Linked DNA regions of Xenopus tropicalis. The protein of the gene in region 1 purifies or fractionates together with the protein of each later gene. This does not show direct contact. Links are inferred from orthologs where the notes say so. Each region holds a gene or a part of one and is shown on either strand. Other genes may lie near its edges.

Evidence for each region. The genes of interacting proteins can lie anywhere in the genome.
Region 2: the proteins of rab9a (region 1) and gdi1 purify together in Homo sapiens (affinity purification with mass spectrometry; 3 studies listed by BioGRID and IntAct, counting the BioPlex papers as one, with this or other methods). This does not show direct contact. The link is inferred for Xenopus tropicalis from reciprocal best matches to the Homo sapiens genes RAB9A and GDI1.

What each region holds. Positions count from the first base shown.
Region 1 is NC_030678.2:105,780,672-105,784,909, reverse strand, and holds the start of rab9a (ras-related protein Rab-9A), read left to right. Parts: upstream 1-1,438; 5' UTR 1,439-2,068; intron 2,069-4,238. UniProt on the Homo sapiens protein: The small GTPases Rab are key regulators of intracellular membrane trafficking, from the formation of transport vesicles to their fusion with membranes.
Region 2 is NC_030684.2:142,199-146,396, forward strand, and holds the start of gdi1 (rab GDP dissociation inhibitor alpha), read left to right. Parts: upstream 1-1,398; 5' UTR 1,399-1,492; coding exon 1,493-1,537; intron 1,538-4,198. UniProt on the Homo sapiens protein: Regulates the GDP/GTP exchange reaction of most Rab proteins by inhibiting the dissociation of GDP from them, and the subsequent binding of GTP to them. Promotes the dissociation of GDP-bound Rab proteins from the membrane and inhibits their activation.

The sequences.
Region 1 (4,238 bases):
CTGCTGCCAGGATCCTCCTGCTCTCTCCTAAGAGGGATCCTGCCCAGCCTCAATTAAGCTCACTAGCATGGCTGCCTGTCAAGCAAAGGATAGCTTACAAAATCCTTCTGCTGACATTCAAAGCCCTTCACTCCTCTGCTCCTCACTACATTTCTTCACTGGTCTCCCTACATGTTCCTGGTCGTCTCCTCCGCTCCTCTCAGAGCCTCCGTCTCTTTACACCATCCACACCCACTGCGCTCTCTCGTCTTAAACCTTTCTATCTCGCTGCTCCTTACCTCTGGAACTCTATCCCTGAATCCCTCCGTAGGGAAAACTTACCCACTCTCTTTAAGAAAAAACTCAGCTGTTACCTTCTGGAGCACTAAAACATTATTTTGCCCAGTCCTGCGCTTAAGGGCAAATGCCCACACCTGGTGCACTCTTACCTTCCAGTTTGTGCCTGTATGTTACCCAACCACTTAGATTGTAAGCTCTACGGGGCAGGGACCTCCTTCCTACTGTGTCTCATACCACATGGCACTTATATATATATATATATACATATATGTATTTATTTATTATATCACTTGTCCTCCCTGTGTGTAATTTTGTATTCTGTAAGACTGTACAGCGCTGCGTACCCTTGTGGCGCTTTATAAATAAAGTTATACATACATACATAAAAATGGTTCTGTTTTCCTAAATTCAATATATTGCAAACCTGCTTCTTTTTAGGTAAAAAGCTGTAAATGCAATACATATCCTTTAATAGAGGAAAAAAGAAAAAAATATAAACTGGTATTTTTTCCCATAAAAGGTGGCAACCCTAATACAACCCCGTATGAAAAGGGGCTTTAGGAGTTATATAATGTAAGCAAAGAGCTGACTAGATCGTATAAATTGCACTTGTTAGTAAATATGCCACACAATCCTTTGCGCTAGTGCCCCTATTTATGTGTGCGCAACTGCCCTAATAGGATTGTTTTTCTAATTAGAAGGCTTGTCACATGATTTTAGGGTGGCAAGCGATTTAGAAACAGCTTTAACCATAAGTATCGGTCATGTGCCCATCGTTTGACGTCTCTGGCCAATAGGTTAACGTTTCTCACAAACAGAACAAGTAGGAAAGCTGCCGCAATGTCTCCTATTGGCTGTCCTACAGATCACGCCTCTGGGCACAAGGGCGCTCCTATTTCCGTATACGCTCTAGTCAAGTGACGCGAAGGCGGAGTTGTTTTCGCCATGTTTTCTCAGGCGATCCAGTAGGGGAGCTCGCTAGAGAGAAGGGTCCCAGGTAAACAGCGCGGGTGATGCCGGCGGGGATGAAATGACATCAGTTTTGATGCGCTGGCTATAACTTTTCTCATGAAGGAAATATTCGTGTTACATGTTTGTTTAGCTCGGTGTTACGCTAAAATACACTGGACATCGTTCAGTACTTCGGTGCAGTTTGGATCTGTATTTAGGAGTCGTGTTTGCTAAATATGCTTGTCTGATTTATACATTGATATGGAATTGTAAACCAAGCTCTCCATTATACAGGCGTTAATGCTTACAAATATTTCTGTGCTCACAAAGCCATAGCAAGTCCATAGCAAATATTTCTTTTAGTTTCTTTTCCTAGACAGGTATGAGCTTTATTTGGTTATCATTTGCAGATTGTTCATCACATTTACATCCATTCCCCAGTGGGATTTAGAATATGAGATGTCCTGCCTATCACATGCACGCAACCGGCTTGCTTCACTTTCATAGGGGGCTCTGTAACCTGGCTGTATATTTTGTTATCATTTATAATGTGGAAAGACTAAGCGATTTGCTGGATATGATGGAAAAGTGATTGCTGGACCAGCAGTTGAAAAGATAAAGCTAATGTTGGCTGGTTTCCTAGGGGTTAATATTTTGTCACTAGGACAGAAGTGCAGGATGTGACAGCACAGGCCTCAGATCTAGGGTGGCAATCAATCGATTGGTCTTATTAAGGAATCTCTATCAGCTAATGATTTAACATTTATATTTGTTTTAGAAATCTGAAAATGATCTGTTGTACTTTGAGACTGCTGAATGTAAAATGCCCAGAAATCAGGTAAGGTGTGATCGTCTTCTAGGACTACATGCCTGAAAACTCATCTAAATTTTTTTATACCCAAATATGCCTTCTCTTTGTTAGTTTTCCTTTAACCTGTTATATATAAAATATGTTCTAAATGAAAAGTTTAACTAGCATCAAATTTACATACCAATTAGTGACCCATCAAATAATCATATCAAATTGTCATATATATATATATCATCAGTAAATATATAACATTTTTTTTCTTAACCTTGAGACACTATTTTTGGATATTTTGTGTGCTTATTTACTGTGGCAGTGTTTCAGTATAGGATTATTCAGTGTCATTTGTTTCTATTTTTCATGATAGTAAGCTAAGATAATAGGGAGCATCTAATTTATAGTATATACAAAATATTAGAAATAAAATACACGTCTTTGGTTAAGAGCACTAGATGGGCTAGATTCTAGTATATTGATATATGTATATATTTTAAAACATCATGGTAAAAATGTATGTAATCTCAGCAAGTTTATGGAAGACATTTTGAATTTTAACTCTTTGGGAGGAGTCTCATACTAAAAAAGATAATGTTGTTTATTTCTAGATATATTTTGCAGGGTCAGCACTAGAGTGTCCTACCAAGCAATTATCAAGAGAGATTTTCAACAATAAATTTATTGTAGTAATCTTAAACTGTAATAGGTGTATTTTTCAAATATATTTTGGTGCCTAATGATCTCTGAACTGGTCAAATGGATCAATAACGACTTGGGTTTCATTTGTAATGTTGTTAAGATGATTTTATACCCATACCAATGTGGTTCATTGAATGTTGAAAATTCACTTTCCCCAAAGTTGCATTGTTCATACTGGTTTGGAGCCCAAAGCAGTTATAAGCTTTATGGCTGTGGGGATTTTTGTACTCATTTATTTGTAGGTGTGGATAGAATTGTCATTACTAAAATATAATGTCTCTGGAATTATCTGGAACTTTATGTACTGGATAATCACAAATGTGCCGGTAAAGTAAGTAAATTGTGCTAATTCATTTTATTCTCAATGTTCTCTCATTTAGTAGGACAGAGATGCTTTTGTTTAACTCTGGTACAGACAGTCCCCACTGTAACGTGTAGCACTTGTTACACTATGTTTCTGCAGAACTTAAATTTAACCAATAGGTGTCTGAAATTACTGGTGTTTAATTTCATTTCTTAATTGGTGATTTGCTGTATAATAAGGTAGCCGTTCTTGGAGTTTTGTTTTTGGAATAGGCACTAGGGGAAGGATTTGCAGATTGAGTAATTTTACCAGGCAGATCACATGCACCTGTCAGATGCACACTGCAGTACCGTATATACTCGAGTATAAGCCGATCCGAATATAAGCCGAGGTACCTAATTTTACCTAAGAAAACTGGAAAAACTTATTGACTCGAGTATAAGCCCCTCAATGGTGCAGCATGAAAAGCATCCATATACCGGTAAACAAAATCTTTAATCCAATAACTAAATATGGCATTTCTGTATTCTTTAAATACAGTAAATTGCTGTTCTGGATGTCACTTCAATGAATACAAAATTATTCTATATAAATTTGATAAAACAACTACTGTGCCACTAGCCATAGAGCTTAGCAAGTTATGTAAACCTCTCATAATATAGAGACCAGTACATCTCTCTTTTTTATTTTTTCATTCATGACTGTACATAAGCTGAGAAGAACTGCATGTGGGTACTTTTGATTTAATTAGGTGAGCAGTGATTATGTAAAGAGCTTCAGAGGGGCCTCTTGATATTAATATGAGTGTATTAAGCAAGGCTAGGGCCCACGGCTAGCACAAGGATATCGTAACCAACTTATACTAAGCATTTCAACAGTGTGGAGTAATGAAAAAAATTGCTCCAGTGGTAGCATTCTATGCCCATAAATCCGCAGGTAGCGGCATATTTAACCTGATCACTTGCTCAGTAGGTATCAGTTACCAGTCTAAGTAAGGCTCTGGTTAGAGGGAGGTGCCACGGTGCTGCTCTTTGTGTCACTTACTGTCATGTTGGCACTCAACACTAACTATATAGTGGGGCTCTGTGCTCTGCTAGGCTGTTCTGCTGCCGTTGTCCTGGCGTCCACAGGGGTCCAGGGAGGGGGGGGCTCGGGGGGGCTCCTCAATGTGTCCCTATGTGCTGCGCGCTGCACATAATG
Region 2 (4,198 bases), on another chromosome or scaffold:
GACAACAGGCAGGACTCTCAGTGAGAGCAGGGTAATTGGGAAGATAGCAGACAGGACACCCAATGAGAAGGGGTAATTGGGCAGATAGCAGACAGGACACCCAATGAGAAGGGGTAATTGGATAGATAACAGACAGGACTCCCAATGAGAGAGGGGTAATTGGATAGACAACAGGCAGAACTCTCAGTGAGAGCAGGGTAATTGGGCAGATAGCAGACAGGACACCCAATGAGAAGGGGTAATTGGGCAGATAGCAGACAGGACACCCAATGAGAAGGGGTAATTGGGTAGATAACAGGCAGGACACCCAATGAAAGAGGGGTAATTGGGCAGATAACAGGCAGGACACCCAATGAGAGAGGGGCAATTGGGTAGATAACAGGCAGGACTCCCAAAGAGAAGGGGTAATTGGGTAGATAACAGGCAGGACTCCCAATGAGAGAGGGGTAATTGGGCAGATAACAGGCAGGACTCCCAATGAGAGAGGGGTAATTGGGCAGATAACAGGCAGGACTCCCAATGAAAGGGGGGTAATTGGGCAGATAACAGACAGGACTCCCAATGAGAGAGGGGTAATTGGGCAGATAACAGACAGGACACCCAATGAGAGAGGGGTAATTGGGCAGATAACAGGCAGGACTCCCAATGAGAGAGGGGTAATTGGGCAGATAACAGGCAGGACACCCAATGAGAGAGGGGTAATTGGGCAGATAACAGGCAGGACTCCCAATGAGAGAGGGGTAATTGAGCAGATAACAGGCAGGACACCCAATGAGAGAGGGGTAATTGGGCAGATAACAGGCAGGACTCCCAATGAAAGGGGGGTAATTGGGCAGATAACAGGCAGGACTCCCAATGAGAGAGGGGTAATTGGGCAGATAACAGGCAGGACTCCCAATGAGAGGGGGGTAATTGGGCAGATAACAGACAGGACTCCCAATGAGAGAGGGGTAATTGGGCAGATAACAGACAGGACACCCAATGAGAGAGGGGTAATTGGGCAGATAACAGGCAGGACTCCCAATGAGAGAGGGGTAATTGGGCAGATAACAGGCAGGACACCCAATGAGAGAGGGGTAATTGGGCAGATAACAGGCAGGACACCCAATGAGAGAGGGGCTATTACACAGATAACAGCCAGTGCCCCACCCTCCCATCTTTAGCCCCCCCAGTATCCCTTGCTGGGAAGATGCAGACGCGGAAGGATCTATTTTCACAGCCGCATAACTAAGGTCACACGCCCTCTTCCTTATTGTCCCTCTGTGGTGTCTGTGGGCCCCGCATGGGGGGCTGTTAGGGACTAAGTGAGACGGTGCCCGGCAGTGCAGCTCGGTACTAGCGATACTGGCTGTTGGGGGCCGTAGGGTGGGGCAGGGGGTGGGGTTAGAGGAAGGAACTATTTGCTGGCGCGGAAGGAGACAGGGCGGTGAAGCTGTTCCTCCATCTTTGGTCCAGCTCAGCTTCCAGCTCCGCACTCTCCCCTCACGGCGCGATGGATGAGGAGTACGATGTGATCGTGTTGGGTACCGGCCTGACGGTGAGTGGCCATGGGGGCCTGGCTGGGTACTGGGGGGTCCTACTCGCTCTTTTATTCTGGGGCCCCAGGAAAGGCTTCAGGGGGCAGTTACACGGGCTGGAGTGGGTAGTGCCTGGGGCAATTACTGTTATAGGCCTAGTAATGCCCTATGGGTATGGGGGCAGGGCCCCTCACTGTCAGCTGGGGGCATTGATGGGATGTATGGGGGCACTGACATGTACTGGGGGGAAATAACATGAATACAGGGCCGTGCCACTCTCTGGTACAGGCTGGGGGCACTGACACGTACTGGGGGGAAATAACATGAATACAGGGCCGTGCCACTCTCTGGTACAGGCTGGGGGCACTGACATGTACTGGGGGGAAATAACATGAATACAGGGCCGTGCCACTCTCTGGTACAGGCTGGGGGCACTGACACGTACTGGGGGAAATAACAGGAATACAGGGCCGTGCCACTCTCTGGTACAGGCTGGGGGCACCGACATGTACTGGGGGGAAATAACAGGAATACAGGGCCGTGCCACTCTCTGGTACAGGCTGGGGGCACTGACATGTACTGGGGGGGAAATAACATGAATACAGGGCCGTGCCACTCTCTGGTACAGGCTGGGGGCACCGACATGTACTGGGGGGAAATAACAGGAATACAGGGCCGTGCCACTCGCTGGTACAGGCTGGGGGCACTGACATGTACTGGGGGAAATAACATGAATACAGGGCTGTGCCCACTCTCTGGTACAGGCTGGGGGCACTGACATGTACTGGGGGGAAATAACATGAATACAGGGCCGTGCCACTCTCTGGTACAGGCTGGGGGCACCGACATGTACTGGGGGGAAATAACATGAATACAGGGCCGTGCCACTCTCTGGTACAGGCTGGGGGCACCGACATGTACTGGGGGGAAATAACAGGAATACAGGGCCGTGCCACTCTCTGGTACAGGCTGGGGGCACCGACATGTACTGGGGGGAAATAACATGAATACAGGGCCGTGCCACTCGCTGGTACAGGCTGGGGGCACTGACATGTACTGGGGGGAAATAACATGAATACAGGGCCGTGCCACTCTCTGGTACAGGCTGGGGGCACCGACATGTACTGGGGGGAAATAACATGAATACAGGGCCGTGCCACTCGCTGGTACAGGCTGGGGGCACTGACATGTACTGGGGGGAAATAACAGGAATACAGGGCCGTGCCACTCTCTGGTACAGGCTGGGGGCACTGACATGTACTGGGGGAAATAACATGAATACAGGGCCGTGCCACTCTCTGGTACAGGCTGGGGGCACTGACATGTACTGGGGGGAAATAACATGAATACAGGGCCGTGCCACTCTCTGGTACAGGCTGGGGGCACTGACATGTACTGGGGGGAAATAACAGGAATACAGGGCCGTGCCACTCTCTGGTACAGGCTGGGGGCACTGACATGTACTGGGGGGAAATAACAGGAATACAGGGCCGTGCCACTCTCTGGTACAGGCTGGGGGCACTGACATGTACTGGGGAGAAATAACAGGAATACAGGGCCGTGCCACTCTCTGGTACAGGCTGGGGGAACTGACATGTACTGGGGGGAAATAACATGAATACAGGGCCGTGCCACTCGCTGGTACAGGCTGGGGGCACTGACATGTACTGGGGAGAAATAACAGGAATACAGGGCCGTGCCACTCTCTGGTACAGGCTGGGGGCACCGACATGTACTGGGGGGAAATAACATGAATACAGGGCCGTGCCACTCGCTGGTACAGGCTGGGGGCACTGACATGTACTGGGGGGAAATAACATGAATACAGGGCCGTGCCACTCGCTGGTACAGGCTGGGGGCACTGACATGTACTGGGGGAAATAACAGGAATACAGGGCCGTGCCACTCTCTGGTACAGGCTGGGGGCACTGACATGTACTGGGGGGAAATAACAGGAATACAGGGCCGTGCCACTCTCTGGTACAGGCTGGGGGCACTGACATGTACTGGGGAGAAATAACAGGAATACAGGGCCGTGCCACTCGCTGGTACAGGCTGGGGGCACTGACATGTACTGGGGGGAAATAACATGAATACAGGGCCGTGCCACTCGCTGGTACAGGCTGGGGGCACCGACATGTACTGGGGGAAATAACATGAATACAGGGCCGTGCCACTCTCTGGTACAGGCTGGGGGCACCGACATGTACTGGGGGGAAATAACATGAATACAGGGCCGTGCCACTCTCTGGTACAGGCTGGGGGCACTGACATGTACTGGGGGGAAATAACAGGAATACAGGGCCGTGCCACTCGCTGGTACAGGCTGGGGGCACTGACATGTACTGGGGGGAAATAACAGGAATACAGGGCCGTGCCACTCTCTGGTACAGGCTGGGGGCACTGACATGTACTGGGGGGAAATAACAGGAATACAGGGCCGTGCCACTCTCTGGTACAGGCTGGGGGCACTGACATGTACTGGGGGGAAATAACAGGAATACAGGGCCGTGCCACTCTCTGGTACAGGCTGGGGGCACTGACATGTACTGGGGGGAAATAACAGGAATACAGGGCCGTGCCACTCTCTGGTACAGGCTGGGGGCACTGACATGTACTGGGGGAAATAACAGGAATACAGGGCCGTGCCACACTCTGGTACAGGCTGGGGGCACTGACAT